Macaca fascicularis: one gene and its partners. The protein of the gene in region 1 binds, or shares a complex with, the protein of each later gene. Links are inferred from orthologs where the notes say so. Each region holds a gene or a part of one and is shown on either strand. Other genes may lie near its edges.

Region 1 (3,102 bases):
AAAAGTATATAGAAGAAAGCCAAGTCTCCCCAATGCTACCATCCAGAGACAGTTTACCAGTTTTGACCTCTATATAACCATAATTTGACATAAATGGAATCAGCTGTACATGCAACCTGATTTTTTTTTTTTTAAACATGAAACAATGCATTTAGTTTTATGACAATATAGAGGGTTTAATGACTGCATAGGAATCTCTTGTGTGGCTGTACCATAGTTTGTTTTTACTTTTAACCAGTTTCCTGTTAATGGACATTTAGGTGTTGACCAGTTTTTTGCCACTGTAAACAACTCTTTTACTTTGACATATATTGTGAACAGTTGACCAAGCATCTCTTTAGAATCAATTCCCTGAGCTAGGATTTACAAGTCAGAGAGTATTCCATGGCCCTGCTTCAGAGAACCTGGGTTTATCCTTCATGTTCTCACCAACTCTTGTATTAGCTTTTTTTCATCTTTTCCAGTCTAATCGGCAACAAGTAATATCTCATTCTACATATATTTTATTTGTTTACTAGTGAGATTCAGCAGTCTTTCACATGGATAGTAACCATAATTTTTTTTCCTCTTATGAATGTCTGTTTGTGGCCTTTATACGATTAAAACAAAATGTTCTATACTATTAGATAGCCTTACTAAAAGAACGTGCTTATTTTGTGGTTTACAAAACACCAAAAAAAAAAAAAACCCAAAACAAAACACAACATACAAGAAAAACCTCCAACTCTCTGTAGCAGTTTCTGTGTAAGAAAATGTCTTGTTTTGGTTATGTATAGGAGGTTATCTCATGGAGAAGGAAACGGTTATATTTCTAACCCCCTGGGCAGTTTTTTTTGTTTGTTTGTTTTTTGTTTTGTTTTTTGTTTTTTGCCTTTGCTGTGAGAACAGATACTTTAATTAGAAGTGAACTTTTTTTTTTTCTTTTTTTTTTTGAGACCAAGTCTCACTCTGTCACCCAGGCTGGAGTACAGTGGCTCAGTCTTGGCTCACTGCAGCCTCTGCCTCCCAAGTTCAAATGATTCTTCTGCCTCAGCCTCCCGAGTGGCTAGTGTTACAGGCACCCGCCACCACGCCCGACTAATGTTTGTATTTTTAGTAGAGACGGGGTTTCGCCATGTTAGCCAGGCTGATCTTGAACTCCTGACCTCAAGTGATCTGCCTGCCTCTGTGTCCCAAAGTACTGGGATTACAGGCGTGAGCCACTGTGCCCAGCCTGGACATTTCATTTTGAAATTCTTTTCATTAGTTTTCGAACAGGTTTGCATATTGTGCCTCAGAAGTTTCTTGCTCATTTATAATTGTGGCTTATATGTAAAATAATACAGCAGGAAATGAGCTAAAGTTATAGCTTAAGCTTTCTTTGGCTAGGAAATAATTTTATTATTCACAGTCCATTCTGGTTCTTTGAGAGTTTACCGCTTTTAGCAGAATTCTGGTAGATTAATGTCTTATGCTGTCATTACACACACAATTTTGAAAGGAAACTTTTTTGTTTAGAGGATAATGGGGGCAGAGGCAGAGAGTGAGGAGCATATTAATGAAGTTAAGACATCAAATGAGAAACTTATAGACTCGACTAATTGAATCTAGTATTTGTTTTTACTTAAATTTTTTTTTCTAGAAAATACCACTTGAAATTAGAGACAGAGTTAGAGGCTTGCAGATTTTCATCTTTTGAAAAAGATCATTAGGTCAAATTTTACAAAATTTATACCATCTTAACACAATTAAAGATTCACTCAAACTGTTTCCTTGAAAGCTCCCTCAAATGTTTTTGGCCATTTTCTCTATTAGTTTTGATTGGAAAATATTATAGCTGTAACAAAACAGAACAAGATGTGTTATAATGCAATATGTTGCCCTATATTCTCAAGCTGCTCTTCACTGTGAGTCACAGCTTTAAGATGTTCTTTCGGGAGCACCTGCTGTCTCCTCTTCTATTATTTTAACAGATTGTGGAGACTTCCTTTTAACCCTGGAGTACATTCATCTGCTGCAATAGATGTTGTAAAAGGATGAAATAAATCTGCCAGACCCGTATTTCACTTAGTGGCTGAAGTAGGAAATGCCACTGGAACCAAGGATCATTTGTTCATGCATAATTGCCCACCTTGTGCTTAGCTTTCACAGAATGGTATTTTTGTTGGATTAGTCTTATTCTCTTACTTTTTTGAATGCTTTAAAAGTTGCTATGTGGTCATACATACCGTGAGGGAAGTGACAGTTTGTTGTTTTACTGGGTAGTAGTGGGTGCGTGACTGCCTTCCTAGTCTTCATTCAGATTGGCCTAGAGTTGTTTTGTGCTTAAGCTGTTGAGTTTCATTTAGGGTATGAATTTTTTTATTAAGCATCTAAGAGCTAATGAATAAAGAGATTGTCTGCTCTAAGGTATACCCTGTAATTTTCAACTCCTACTTGCCTTGTATTTCTTCTTTTTGACTAAATATGTCTACAGGGGTCCTGGCTTGCTTGGATGGCTACATGAATATAGCCCTGGAGCAGACAGAAGAATATGTAAATGGACAACTGAAGAATAAGTATGGGGATGCATTTATCCGAGGAAACAATGGTAACATTTCTTCACCCTACAGTACAGCATTCATTCAAAATAAGCCTTTCTGTTTATAATCCAGATCACCAAAGAGTTTACTAGATAATTTAAAAGTCCAGTTTTAGGCTTGATTATTTTAAAATGCTTATATGTCAGTTTGACCAGTTATTTTTTTAGATACATCATGGAATTTTTAAACTAAAATTCCCTCCTTCCCTTCCTTTAGTGATGAGGAACTGGGGGCATTGTTCTCCTGACCCGGAACCCTGCTCTCTTGAATATAGTGTATTATTATCTCCCCAACACATATTCCTGCTTCTTGTAGCCTGGAAGTTGCAGCTGTAAGAATGGGCACCATTTCCCTGCTGTCTTTAATTTGCATAATTTGGCAGTTTGTCCTATTTGTCCCTTCTCTATTAAACATTCAGATGCTTTCTGTGCAGATTTGCATCCTTTGATTTGGCAAAAATGGCAAAATAGAAAAAATAAAGTTACTCAGTTTTTTAACAACTAATAAATTGCTATGATTTTTATAGTTATTTTTAAGTACC
Region 2 (4,531 bases), on another chromosome or scaffold:
CCATGTTGGTCAGACTGGTCTTAAACTCCCAACCACAGGCGATCCACCGGCCTCGGCTTCCCAAAGTGCCGGGATTACAGGCCTGAGCCACCGCGCCCCGGCATGATTTGTTGTCAATTTGTCATCCAAAGGACCACAAGGATGGCTGGATAGCAGACAAGAGTTTTACTGTCAATGTCAGTTTGCAAACCAGGGGGAGTCTCTAACATGAACCCAAAGTGCTCTCTCAGAAGAACAGAGATTAGAGGTTTTATTTTAAAAAGAGAAATATTATTTCTCTTGGAGAAAGTTCATAGGCACCAGTAAGGGTCTGGGGAGCTCTGACTGGGGAGCGAAGCCGGGGGAGCCAGATCAGTCCTGGAGGTGCAAGTTATGCTGAAGCTATGCAATAAAACTGGCTTCAGGTCGGGCGCGGTGGCTTCCTCCAGTAATTTCAGCGCTTTGGGAGGCCGAAGCGGGCGGATCACTTGAGGTCAGGGGTTCGAAACCAGCCTGGCCAACATGGTTAAACCCCGTCTCTACTAAGTACAAAAAAACTAGCCGGGCTGGCGCCTGTAGTCCCAGCTTACGGGGAGGCTGAGGCAGGAGAAGCGCTTGAACCCGGGAGGCGGGGGCTGCAGTGGGCCGAGATCACGCCACTGCACTCCAGCCTGCGCGACAGAACGAGACAACGTCTCAAAAAAAATTTTTTTTCTTTATAAAAAGACAAAAACTCTGGTTTCGGGTTACAACAGGCAGCTCAGCAGCCGGCCTGACGGTGACATTCCTCAAGGACGGCCTGCCCAGTGCTTCCCCCCACCCCGCTGCTCGGCTCTGCCGTGGCTGGGTATGGCAACAACGACACATTTTTATGGTCAAGTTTCACAAATGACACACACGAACCGTCTCGCTAACACACAGCACAAACGATGACCCGAAACAGACACCGGAAAGGAAAAAAACGAGCCGCAGTGCCGGGCATGCCGGGCCTTTCTGAAGACGTCCCCATCCGTGGCTGGAGGACAGCCCGGGCGGCGGCGGGCGGCCTCGGGGCGGGTGCGTCGGGGCAGGGCACGGCGAGCCCGGGGCTTCTCAGGACCACCAGGCCGCCTGGACGCTGGGGAGGAACCCCCACTCCGACGCCGGCTAGGAGGGCACCAACCGCGCTCCACCGTGGCCAGGTCGCCGCCGCTCCCGCCGGCCAACGACAAGTTAGCGCGGCGTCTGTACGCGCGTGACGTCAGCACGCACGGCGCCAGCCCGTGCGCATGACGTCAGCACGCACGGCGTCGGTGCGTGCGCGCCCAGAGGTTCCGCCCGGCGGCAGTGCCAGCGGAGCTTGCGGGTGCGGGTGGGACCGGGTTTCGGCTGTGGGCCCGGGGGCGGCGGGGGCCGCGGAGTGAGGGGCCGGCTGAGCCCACCACCTCGCTGGGCCCTCCCTGGCGCCCGGCCTCGGGCGGCGGCGAGCGCGCGGGTCGCCATGTCGTACATGCTCCCGCACCTGCACAACGGCTGGCAGGTGGACCAGGCCATTCTCTCCGAGGAGGACCGCGTGGTCGTCATCCGCTTCGGCCACGACTGGGACCCCACCTGCATGAAGATGGACGAGGTCCTATACAGCATCGCCGAGAAGGTAGCGCGCCGGGCCCTCCCGCCCTGCTGGCTGTGCTTCCGCAGCGGCCCCGCGCCTCTGCCCCGCCGGCCTCGCCTGGGGGCGCGAGCCGTTCCCCGAGGAGGGGCCGCGGCGCGGTCGTCCGGGCGATTCCTTCCCGCGCTGCGGGCGAGCGCTCTCGGGGACTGTGCCGGCGTTTCGCGCCTTTTTCTGCAGGGAGGTCCTGTAGTTGTTCACGTTTTAAAGGGTTTATGATCCCCCTCCCCTCGAAGGAATTCATTATTTCTGTTGGTAAGGCGTTTTTCCCAATCTTACAGTGCAGTGAACAAAGTAACACTTGCAGATTTTGAGAGCGCAGATCCTTAATTTAAAAGGATGCCCTTTTTTGGTGCCTTGTTTGTTTGTTGTATGTGTAAAGCAGAACTTTCATGTTAATAGCATAAGAAATCCTGTTTTTCTGTTGTTGTTTTCTCCCACCGCGCTTTTTGTAAGTCATGTGATTTATAGCTTAGAGTGATTAAGATGCAGAAAACATCGGGAGAAAATAGAACTATGCTTTGTTGGAACTAGTTTTCTGAATTTCTAATATTAGTACATTGAGTGGCCTTGGCACTTACTTGCTGACAATAAAAGTTGTGGGACACTATTTTATAACCAGGTTTCATTCTTTTTCTGTGGTTCCTCACAGCAATTTTAGGATGGCGTTTATTTAGGTTTTGCAGCTGTAGCAATAGGGCAAAGGGCACAAATACTAGGGTGTTAATAAAATATTTGCCATATTAATTTTCCGTAAGTAATTTGAGCGGTTATTCATTTTGATGAAGAGTAAAAGTAACATTGAAGCTATCTTTTCTTTCACAGATGCTAAAGTAGGCTGGGTTAAAATAACTCCTTTGAGTAAAGAGTAACAGATATAAAGACATTTTATATTGAGGAAAGGAAAGACTGTCTGGCCTGCCATTTATTAATTCTTGCTATTTCTTATTTAGTAGGAGAGGCGTGATGTTAGGAACTGTTGTTATATTTTAGTTATTACAAGAATCTCTTGGAGTGCTTACTAAAATGCATCTGTGATTCTGAGTCTATGGGTGTGGGGTGAAGTCCAGCAATGGCTTTTTAAAGAAGCCCCTCAGGGAATTCTGATGTGACCTGACCTTGAACCACACACTCAGAAACCCTTCCATGGGGGTCAGGGACAGAGGCGGAGTGCTTTATTACCAGCCATCTCCCAGCCTCTTCCTCTTGGACAGCAGGACACTGAGGACTTGAGGAGCTGCCTAGGGAATCAGGAGAGCAGCAGTTCTCTCACACTGGGGCTTCTGCCAGCCAGGGATTAGAGATGATGAGTGAGGCAGTGCCAGCACATCAGCTTTTCATTGCTTGACTTGTAGTGGACAAGGGCAGATACTGGAAATCCAGCGAAGAATTGACGAAGAGCAGTTTCCCAATAAGTAAATCACTGCTTGTAAATCACTGACTTTGAGTTACGAGTTCTAGAATCTTTCACTGTTCTACCTTGCAGATGGTGGCATAAACATCAGCTGGTGTTCAGATCCTGCTGCCGGCAGCTCGAGGCTAGGATGGCTGGCGATGTGAGGGCCTTTGTCTCATCACATCCAGGCAGAGCTCAGCAAGATGCTCTTAGCTAGGAAACAGATTTTATGTGTTAATGTAAGTGTTAGGGTCTTTGCCAGATTTGCTCTTTTTTTCCAATTCCTTTATGTCCGATTTCTTTGTTATTACAGAATGAATCACTGTATCACTAGTGGACACACACTTAAGGACAGTTGAAATGGGCTCACTTTGGGGTATTTTTTTTTTTTTTTTGGTCTTTTAAAATAGTTTGATTTTTGTTTCTGTCCAAAAATTTGGATTGCTTTATTAATAAACTTTTAATGCAAATATTATAGTATAATTATTAAAAGCGCAAACCTAGGCCAGGCACGGTGGTTCATATCTGTAATCCCAGCACTTTGGTTGGGAGGCTAGTGTAGGCAGATCACTTGAGCCCAGGAATTCGAGACCAGCCTGGACAATATGGTGAAACCCGTTCTCTACTAAAAGTACAAATGCCAGACGTGGTGGCACATGCCTGTAGTCCCAGCTACTTGGGAGGCTGAGGTGGGAGAATCACCTGAGCCCGGGAAGTCAAGGCTGCAGTGAGCCATGATTATACCACTGAACTCCAGCCTGGGCAACAGGAGTGAGACCCTGTCTCCAAAAATAAGTGCAAACCTGAAATGCATTAAAAGACTATTCGTGTTTTATTTTCTTCTTAGTATATGGGCAAAATATGACTTTCTAATTCTGGAAGCTCTTTTGGGGAAACTCAACAGAAATTTTTGAAATGTAAGATTTTAGTATAAAGAACAATATAACTATTTAAAAATTTCCCTGTGCAGAAATGGCAGATAATGGAGAATCTTCCTTATCTTGTTATGAGTCCTGTCGATGTCCCAGCTGTTTTAAAGTGAGTAACAGTTGCAGATGTTCGGCTGGACTTGATACGATTTTTTCCTGGATGTGTTGTATTGATCTGCTGCTTCCACAAGGCCCACTGGCCTCATGCTGGGTTAGAGCTGAGCTGTGAACTTCAGGAAGAAAGTTAGTCTGGAAACAGAGCTACACTTAAATATTTCACAGGTGCCTACAGTTTGCTAATAAGTGTGGGGCAATTCATTTGATAAAGTGATAATAATAAAGTTTTCAGCTGGGCATTGTGTCGCACGCCTGTGGTCCCAGCACTTTGGGAGGCCGAGGTGGGTGGTTCCCTTGAGCCCAGGAGTTTGAGAACAGCCTGGGCAACATGGTGAAACCTTGTCTGTACAAAAAGTGCAAACATTAGCTGGGCGTGGTGGCCTGCGCCTGTGGTCTCAGCTACTCGGTAGGGCAAGACGGAAGGGTATGAGTCCAGGAGTTCGAGGCTGTGACAAGCTATGA
Region 3 (4,532 bases), on another chromosome or scaffold:
TACCTCTACATAACTTTACAAAGCTATTTATTCTCTAAAGGAGTCCCAGTATAGGGATACTTAACAAATAATTAACTAGTAAACTGCAAATAATTACCATGAAAATGAGAGTTCCACAACTATAAGGATTTCTGGAAAATCTAGCAATAGTTTTGAAACCCACACCAAAATACAAGTGTGATAAAAAATGAGAGGTACAGTGGTGACATTATGTTTAAAAACAGTATAAAAACTTTAAAAAGTCACTAGGCTACAGCACATGTGTTTAGAAAATGTGTGGGAGGATCAATGAGAAACCTGACAGATGTCCCTACTGCAGAAGAGTCTTCAGTTTTTTGAGACGGAGTCTCGCTCTGTCGCCCAGGCTGGAGTGCAGTGGCGCCATCTCAGCTCACTGCAAGCTCCGCCTCCCGGGTTCACACCATTCTCCTGTCTCAGCCTCCCGAATAGCTGGGACTACAGGAGCCCGCCACCACAACTGGCTAATTTTTTTGTATTTTTAGTAGAGACGGGGTTTCACCATGTTAGCCAGGATGGTTTCCATCTCCTGACGTCGTGATCCACCCACCTCAGTCTCCCAAAGTGCTGGGATTACAGGCGTGAGCCATCACACCCAGCCAGAGGAGTCTTCATTTTATGCCCTCTGGTATTGTCTGAATTTCTTATGACAAATATGCGTAATTTTATTTTAAAAATAGAGTGGACCTCTCATTACTGACATGGAAAGATATCCTCAATGGTATATAAAATGAAAAATGGGGGTTATACAACAATTTACGTATCATGTTTTCACTTATGGAAAAAATGACGTATTTTTATAGCTGTATTAAAATTCTAAGATATACAATCAATTAATTAAAAAATACTGGATTTTCTACTTCACACATTCATACACTGTTTGATCTTTTAAAAGAAAAATAACTATTACCTTTTTTTTTTGAGACAGGGTCTCTCTCTGTTGTCCAGGCTGGAGTGCAGTGGTACAATCATGACTCACTGCAGCCTTGAACTCCCACCTCAGAACCCCAATTAGCTGGGAATACAGGCACGCGTCACCATGCCCGGCTAATTTTCTACTTTTTGTAGAGATGGGGTATCACTATTTGCCCAGGCTGGTCTCGAATTCCTGGGCTCAAGCCGGACTCCCACTTCGCAGCCTCCCAAAGTGCTGGGATTACAGGTTTCAGCCACCAGGCTTGGCCACTATTACTTTTATAATAAAACAAGATATCTCAGCCAGGTGCAGTGGCTCACGCCCGTAATCCCAGCACTTTGGGAGGCCGAAGTGGGCAGATCATTTGAGGTCAGGAGTTGGAGACCAGCCTGCGCAACATGGTGAAACCCCGTCTCTACTAAAAATACAACAATTAGCTGGGTGTGGTAGCCGGCACCTGTAATCTCAGCTAATCGTGAAGCTGAGGCAGGAGAATCACTTGAACACAAAAGGCAGAGGTTGCAGTGAGCCACGGTTATGCCACTGCATTCCAGCCTGGGCAAGAGAGTGAGACCCTGTGTCAAAAAAAAAAAAAAAAAAAAAAAAAAAGATATTTCCCTTTGGGTAAAAAATAATTGGAAAACTTCAAAAGGGAGATTATCACGAACCACTCTAGCTGCAAACCAATGCCAGAACTATGTTAGATCTCCAGAAGACAAATGGAATCAATCTGAATCCAAATGTACACTGAATTTTTGATAAGACTGCTCACTCATAGAAGCAAAACTATGTAACACATTGTAAGAAAAAGGCTCTCTGCATGATTTTAAGGGGGTAGGCAAAATACAGCCTTATAGATGCAAGTTTAAGAATTGAAATTCTGCCAGGCGCAGTGGCTCACGCTTGTAATCCCAGCACTTTGGGAGGACGAGGGGGAGGGATCACAAGGTCAGGAGTTTGACCAACATGATGAAACCCCGTCTCTACTAAAAATACAAAAATTAGTTGGGCTTGTTGGTGTGCGCCTGTTATCCCGGCTACTCCGGAGGCTGAAGGAGAACTGCCTGAACCCGGGAGGCGGGGGTTGCAGTGAGCAGACATCGCGCCACTGCACTCCAGCCTGGTGACAGAGCGAGACTCCGTCTAAAACAAAAGAACTTAAATTTTTTGACATTATAAAACTGATGATATTCAAGTTTAGGAAAGTATTCATTACACAAAGAGGTAAAGATGGGTTCACAATTTGCATCTTACCAGAGGTTATATTAATATTTCCAGCTTCGATCCCTGCTTTAAGTCCTTCTTTCCCCAAAATCCCAGACTCTCCTTTGGCCAGACGCTCCCTCTCCTTCTCTTCCAAACTTCCATAATAGATGTGTGGTTTCTTCACAACCGGAGCAACTAAGTCATCGGGTGTTTTAGTTTTGGTTGCCTGCCAAATCAAAAATCTGGATTAAATTGAGGTTTAATCTTGGCAATTTACCGGATTTCCCGAGGATGAAGCTCGCCCTGAGTTTCACAGTCCTATTTCCTTCATAATTGAAAGGACAAATTGGACACTACTTAAGATGTTCTTCATCGATTTGAGGTGAAGGGGAGGGTGTTTCAGTCCCTCACTTTAGCTGACGGGATTGATAAAACTAGTGAGGTTCTCTCGAGTATTTTCATATGAAAGGTTTGCTCTGGAATCTGTTTACTTTATTCTGCTGGAAACGTGGAATCTCGTGTTTTACGATGTATCCAAGATTACTGCTCATCACTGGGGAAATACTAAGGATAGATGAAATAACCAACGCGGTGCTAAAGGATAACAAGTTACAACATTACGAGTGTATACATTTCAAACGTTTCTAGACGTGAGGTAGAAGTTAGTAGGTCTCATTAAAATTTTGAGATCTGCCAAACGCATAAACCTTGGCCAAGACACTTCCCTATTTCAGAGCACCGTTACTGGATGAGTCGGAAGAGATGTTTGCCCTTTGGGGCTGTAGTGGGAGAGGTGCAAATAAGCTACAGTCCACGAAAGCGCTTAGGGGTCAGGAAAACGGTGGTCCGCTGTGTAGAACACCACTGAGTCCCGCAGCCTTCCTCCTCAGCCCTCCACCGCCTTCTCTCGCTCCCTAACGGCCCCTTCCCGCAGAGATCCTCTTCCCCCTTCGCGCTCCCTGCCAGAGTGAGTTGCGATCCCGGGCTCTGTACCGTGGAGGAGGTTCGCGAGGAAGCCATGCTGGGCTCTGGAGCCGCGAGGCCCCAGCGAAATCCAAGCTCTCCGTTTCAGACCTTCCACCGCGCGCCCAGCAGAGCGGAAGTGCGTCACTGACCGGAAGTGTGTCGCAAACAGGACATGGGCCAAGAGCCGTCGCTGCGCCCGGAGCGGCGCGGAGCATGATGGAAGTCGTAGTAGGAAATGGCGTCGTGGCATTGAGGGGCATCCCTCCTAGAACCTCCAAGAAAAGCTCGCGGAAGACGAGGTTCTGCTGAGAGAGAGGCTCCAAGCCGTCTGGGAAGTGTAGTCCAGTTGGCGTAGCAGTAGTTTCGTGGAGGGGAGCCGAGGTTCCGGGAAGGGGCTGAGCCGACTTGAAAAGAGGTAGGTAAGTCGACTCGCGCGGCTCGGGGCTGAACTCTGGAGCGAGTCGAGGGCTTCCGGGGCCCGCTGTGCCTCCCCGGGCCTACGGGGGCGTTTACGTCTTCTGGGAGCCGAGGACCGTGTTACCATAGAAACCCTGGGATCCGAGGTACAGGCCTGGAGCTAGGGGACGAGGACTGTTCTCTTCCATGGTCCGGAAGTCTTCCCAGGGGCCACCTATGAGCTTGATGGCTCGGCGGTGGATTTGGGCTGCAGCGAGAGATTAAGCTAGAAGAGCCCGCTGGTGCCAAAGTCAAATAAAGACCCGGCGGAGGAGCTTCGGCCTGATTTTGTTCATTTGTCTTCAGCCTGGTCTTTGTATCAGATTGAGAGTAAGATGATGGTTAGGAGGGTGTCAGGGAACTGTACGTCTCTCTGCCCTGCTGGATGCTGGGGTATTAGAGACGAACAGCATAAGGTTTTTATCCCCACGTGGACGGTGGGAGATCCTCAAAATATTGACGTTTCCGTAGCTGGCCAGATCCTCATCCAACCCCCTAGAAAAATTACAGCCATAATAGGTGTTATTTATTGAACATTTATTAAATGCCAAGTAATGTTCCAAGAGCTTACTCTGCATTACGTTATTCACTTCCTACAACAGCAAAGTAGGATACAGATGAGGAAACTAAGGCCTAGTTAGAAATGAAACTAATTGTTCAAGATCAGTGGCGCAGTGGGATTAGAACCTGTGCCCTTTAACCTCTACAGCCAGCACTTTTAACTGCTACTCTATACTGCTCCGTAGTGGCCAGTTTTTCGCAGTTTGCAGAAAAGGTAAAATGTATAGTAGACCTTTTTTTTCCTTTTAGGTATCCCTATCCCTCTCTTTCCCTCTTTGGAACTTTGGCTTTCTCTACCATTTGTCTGCATTGGAATCTGGTAGAAGATAATGCCTGATTTAGTACAAAGCAATTTGAAATGTAATGTGCCAGTGTTTTGTGTTGATAATATCGCCTGTAATATCCTAAG
Region 4 (4,796 bases), on another chromosome or scaffold:
ACACTCCTGCTTCAGAAAAGCCTTCCCAGGCAAACTGAGTCCCTCCCTCCACAGCGTTCTGTGATCTTTCTATCTTTCTTCCACCTTTGGCTTTCCTCCTCCTTCCAAATGTCTGGGGTCTCTAGGTCCCTGGCCTCAGAATAGGGGGAGTCCAGGGGGCTGACAGGGCAGCTGGGGGTGGAGGTGCGGTTCGCAGAAAGCTTCTGAGGGGGCCCTCCAGCCTTGCAGAGACCACGGGCATTTCAGGGTAAGAGAAAAGACTAGACAACGAAGCTCCTGCAATGAGCTGCAGGCTTCCCTGGCGCCAGGTCACAACTGGACGGCACGTTCATCCAGATGCGACATGGACTGACATACTTTGAAAGGGTCACTCCTGCTGTGTCGAGGATGGACTAGGGATGTGGGGGACAAAGGCAGCCACAGCAGGGGGATGGCGGTGGGGCTGGAAGAGTGGAGACTAAGAAGGAGCCCAGTGGCAGCGACGCCTTAAGAGAACTCTGAGAGAGGAGTGAAGGTTAAGGGCCGCATTTGTGAGGCTGCTCCGGGTTCCATTCCCTGAGCCACCAAACTCAGGTAAGAGGTAAGATTTGGAATTAAGAAAATAAAAGATGCAGTTACGACAGTGCCATCTCGTAGACTGTCCCCGCTAGAACCTGACACTCTACATCAAAGGATACACAATGAATATAAGGAAGGCGTGCTGTCCCTAGGCGCTGGTCACCCTGGGTAGCATCTCCAGAATCCACACCATAGTCGACCCCCCTTCTCCAGACGAGCAACTGACGCTCAAAGCAGGGAATTCCCTCGTCCAAGGTCACGGAGTAAAAGATGGAGCGGGAATACGACCCCAGTGCAGGGCTGGGCTCTTGGCCGCTCCAGGATGCTGGCCAGTCACTGGGGGACACGCGGGACGCCTCTGGGTTCCCCCACCGCACCCCCTAGGGTGAGGTTAGCTTAGCACCGGGCCATTCCGCCTAAAGGGAAACTGAGGCTCGGAGCGGGGTGGGCGGCCGCCTGCCCAAGGCCACAGAGCGGGAGAGAGGCGTCCCCCGCGGCGGCTGGAGACCCCGAAACGGACAAGCAGAACAGGGAGATGGAGGGGGCACAAACTTCAGGCCCGGTGGGAAGTGAGGGGCGCTGCAGCGGCGGAGGGCCTCCGAGGCGGGGAAGGGAGAGAAGCCGGGGACAGCCCCGCAAGGTCACGGCCGGGCCCCGGCACCGCCGGCCGACAACGAGGGGACCGCGGATCCCCGAGGCTGGACCCCCAAGACGGGCCAAGAGGGGTCGTTCCTGCGCGTAGCCTCGGGGCCGAGAGGCCGAAGGGCCGCAGCCTGCGGTGCCGTCGGGACCGGTGCCGCGCTCACCTGGGCCGCGAGGAGCAGAAAGGCCGCCACAAGCCGCGCCAGCGCAGCCGCCGCCACCGCCGCCATCTCGGCCGGTGCCCGCCGCAACCGTCGGCAGATGTTTCCCAGCAACGCCCCGAGACCCCGGGCCACGCATGCGCCGCGCATGCGCGTGGGGGGGAGGGGAGAGGTCACAGGGCACGGGGCGGTGTCTGCGAAGAGCCTCACGGCGCGACAAGATGGCGGTGAGCGCGCGGCAGAATCCGGAGCCGGGGGGCGTGGGGCTCGGGCCGCGCTCCAGGCCTCATGCGCTCTGCTTTCCCCGCAGGATAAGGAGAAGAAGAAAAAGGAGAGCATCTTGGACTTGTCCAAGTACATCGACAAGACGATCCGGGTGAAGTTTCAGGGAGGACGCGAAGGTGAGGCGGCTCCCGCCGTTGGCACCCCCCCTTTAAAATTTTAAAATAAAGTCAGCAACAGAGGTGATGAGGATGCATGCAGAGGCGCCTCTTTTATTTATTTTTATTTATGTATTTATTTTGAGACGCAGTCTCGCTCCGTCGCCCAGTCTGGAGTGCAAGTGGTGCGATCTCAGCTCACTGCAACCTCCGCCTCCCGGGTTCAAGCGATTCTCCTGCCTCAGCCTCCTGCGTGGCTGGGGCTACAGGCGCCACCACTCCTGGCTAATTTTTGTATTTCTAGTAGAGACGGGGTTTCACCATGTTGGCCAGGCTGGTCTCAAGCTTCTGACCTCAAGTGATTCGCCCGTCTCGGCCTCCCAAAGTGCTGGGATGACAGGCGTGAGCCGCCGCAGAGGCGCCTCTTTACACGCTTGACGCCGACTACCTTGTGCAGGCTTCCGAATTACGCCGGGAGGTAGGAACTGGTATGGCCATGTTGCAGGCGGGGAAACTGGGGCAAGGAGCGGGAAACAAACGTAATCCAAAGTCACAGTGGCGCAGCCGGTATTGGGATTTCCGGCTTGGCCTCCAGAGCAGTCCTGTGTGTCCAAGGACTGCCCCAGATCCCCACAGATCTCCCGGCTTCTCCTCTTCCTCCCTCTAAGTCAAGGTCTTTCCCGCACAGCAGTGTGGACACATTTGGGGCCGGATTCTCTGGAGTGGGGCCGTCCTGGGGCACTGCAGGGTGCTGAGCAGCATCCCTGGCCTCCACCAAGTTGTGACAACCTAAATAGCCTCAGACATTGCTTAGTGTTCTCTGGGGATAGGATCGCCCCCCGACCCCCAAGCTGTGATTGGGAATCACAGCTACTAAGGTCAGTCTCCACTCAGCGGCCAGAGGCACCTAATGAAAAAGAAATGGAGGCTTCTTGCTCCCTGCTGAAAACCTCTGAGGCTCCCGGTTGTTTTGGAGTAAAATCCGAATCCATACTTCTGATTATGACTGCAAAGGGCGGCAGAAGCACAAGTTCCACAGGTGCTTGCTCTGGGAAGCCCTCCCTGACCCTGGCGTCAGGCCCCCCATCGTTCTAGGATCCTGGTAGCACCTGTCACCGTTTGCGGTTTCGTGCATGTTAACCTGATGCTTGCCTCTGCCTGCAACTCTTCCATGGAATCTAGTGAAGACAGGGCGAGCTCTCAGAGGGCAGGAAGCATTCGCATGGGCAGTGGGCTGGTGATGCATGCTGCAGCTCTTGGCGGGACGCAGGGACTCACGCCTGTAACCCCAGCACTTTGGGAGGCTGAGGCAGGCGGATCATATGATCAGGAGATCGAGACCAGCCTGACCAACATGGGGTTTCGTGAAACCCCATCTCTACGAAAAATACAAAAAAATTAGCTGGGCGTGGTGGTGCACACCTGTAATCCCAACAACTCAGGAGGCTGAGGCAGGAGAATCTCTTGAACCCAGGAGGCAGAGGTTGCAGTGAGCTGAGATCGCGCCACTGCACTCCAGTCTGGGAGACAGAGCGAGACTCCGTCTAAAAATAAATAAATCACACACACGCACACACACAGCAGAGAAAGGGTTTGCTCCCTGAAGGACTCACCTGATATGGTCAGGCTCACCCAGGGTGTTTCCCTCTAGATTGGCTCAAAGTCAGCTGGTTCAGGGGCTTAAACAGCTGCATAACCTAAGTGCAGGAGTGACGTCATGTCCCCTCAGAGTCACAGGCCCGAGCCCACACCCCGGGGAGGGGAACCTTGGTTAGAGACCTACCTACCTCAGTGCTCACATCTGTCCCTGTGAGGAGGGCTGGCTCACTGGTCAGGCTGGTGCCAAGGACCTGAACCGTTGCGTCTGACCCCATCTCATAGGTGACAGGTTTCATTTTGCAGGGGAGGGACTTGAGCGCAGAGAGAGGGAGCCGTGGAGGTAGGAGCTAAAGCCTGTATGCAGGTGGGCAGACCTTCTCTGTAGAAGGCCAGACAGCAAATATCTTCAGCTTTGCAGCCCAGATGGTCTCTTGTCACAACCAGTGAGCTATGCCCGCAGAGCAGGAGAGCCGCCCTGGTCAGTGCCTGAGCGGGCGAGTGTGCTGGTGGGCCAGTGAAACTTTGGCATACAGAGATGAGCGGTGGGCCACTTTCGCCTCTGGTCGTAGTTCGCAGCGCAGAACGGCCATGGACAGGCTCACAGCCCTGCCTTGGGAGAAGATAGGCGGGCAGAATAATGCCTGGGGTGCCTGCTTCCTGAGATTGGTGGGGGGCATGCAGAGGGCAGCACCCTAAGGGGTGTGGGTTGGTGTCTGGAGGAAGCACCTGAAAGATGACAGGGGTAAGAAGGAGGGTAGGGAGCGGGTGGCTGAGGGACGCCCCTCAGTGAGCGCAGAGGCGGAACCGCTCCTGGGCCTGGGCTGGAGGAGCCTGGGGGGAGAGGACGGGAGTCCCGGACAGGGAGGGTGGGCTGGCCTCTGCTGAGGACACACAGCTCCCCCTTCATCCTTCTCAGTGTCACCAGACACTGCGGAGCAGGATCAGATGGCAGAGGTCACCACCGGGTCAGAGAGCCCTAACCCAAGGTGCCAAGTTGTGACCTAAGGCGGCGAGGCTTGGGGGGTGGGGCAGGCAGCGTGGAGAGAGAAGCCACAGCAACCGCCTCAGCCCCCAAAGCCTTTGCACCCGGGTCTCAGAGCATCTCTCTTGCCCGCTCCCCGCAAGCCCTGAGCTGCAGGGCTGGGATTTGTTCTTCTGTATTCCGTGAACTCACTGAGGGACCTAGCACAGGTCAGGCAGCGCAGTCACCACCGCTGTCCCAGCAGAGCACTCCGTCTCCCCTAGAGGAAGCCCTGTCCCCATCAGCTGTCACTGCCTGTCGCCTCCCCGGCACCCACACATCCCCTCCCTGTCTCTGTGGATTGGCCTGTCCTGGACCTTTCATAGAAACGGGATTACACGCTGCGCGGCCTTCTGTGGCTGGCGTCTCTCACCGAGCGTGGCGCCCTCAGGCGCGTCCTCAGGCACATCCGCACCGCAGCCTGCGCCAGCCTCG

The links. Proteins that work in one complex are often made in the same cells at the same time.
Region 2: LSM6 (region 1) and TXNL4A share a complex: the UniProt entries of both Homo sapiens proteins name them as parts of the precatalytic spliceosome. The link is inferred for Macaca fascicularis from reciprocal best matches to the Homo sapiens genes LSM6 and TXNL4A.
Region 3: LSM6 (region 1) and PRPF4 share a complex: the UniProt entries of both Homo sapiens proteins name them as parts of the precatalytic spliceosome. The link is inferred for Macaca fascicularis from reciprocal best matches to the Homo sapiens genes LSM6 and PRPF4.
Region 4: LSM6 (region 1) and LSM7 share a complex: the UniProt entries of both Homo sapiens proteins name them as parts of the precatalytic spliceosome. The link is inferred for Macaca fascicularis from reciprocal best matches to the Homo sapiens genes LSM6 and LSM7.

What each region holds. Positions count from the first base shown.
Region 1 is NC_088379.1:151,041,068-151,044,169, forward strand, and holds part of LSM6 (U6 snRNA-associated Sm-like protein LSm6), read left to right. Parts: intron 1-2,455; coding exon 2,456-2,569; intron 2,570-3,102. UniProt on the Homo sapiens protein: Plays a role in pre-mRNA splicing as component of the U4/U6-U5 tri-snRNP complex that is involved in spliceosome assembly, and as component of the precatalytic spliceosome (spliceosome B complex).
Region 2 is NC_088392.1:1,012,559-1,017,089, forward strand, and holds the start of TXNL4A (thioredoxin-like protein 4A), read left to right. Parts: upstream 1-1,285; 5' UTR 1,286-1,459; coding exon 1,460-1,612; exon of another isoform or gene 1,613-1,882; intron 1,883-3,189; exon of another isoform or gene 3,190-3,226; coding exon of another isoform or gene 3,227-3,262; intron 3,263-3,993; exon of another isoform or gene 3,994-3,995; coding exon of another isoform or gene 3,996-4,061; intron 4,062-4,531. UniProt on the Homo sapiens protein: Plays a role in pre-mRNA splicing as component of the U5 snRNP and U4/U6-U5 tri-snRNP complexes that are involved in spliceosome assembly, and as component of the precatalytic spliceosome (spliceosome B complex).
Region 3 is NC_088389.1:44,822,334-44,826,865, forward strand, and holds the start of PRPF4 (U4/U6 small nuclear ribonucleoprotein Prp4), read right to left. Parts: upstream 3,247-4,532; 5' UTR 3,161-3,246; coding exon 3,134-3,160; intron 2,367-3,133; coding exon 2,189-2,366; intron 1-2,188. UniProt on the Homo sapiens protein: Plays a role in pre-mRNA splicing as component of the U4/U6-U5 tri-snRNP complex that is involved in spliceosome assembly, and as component of the precatalytic spliceosome (spliceosome B complex).
Region 4 is NC_088393.1:2,987,694-2,992,489, reverse strand, and holds the start of LSM7 (U6 snRNA-associated Sm-like protein LSm7), read left to right. Parts: upstream 1-1,550; 5' UTR 1,551-1,582; coding exon 1,583-1,588; intron 1,589-1,671; coding exon 1,672-1,762; intron 1,763-4,796. Other genes in the region: SPPL2B (signal peptide peptidase-like 2B), read right to left, coding at 1,365-1,430. UniProt on the Homo sapiens protein: Plays a role in pre-mRNA splicing as component of the U4/U6-U5 tri-snRNP complex that is involved in spliceosome assembly, and as component of the precatalytic spliceosome (spliceosome B complex).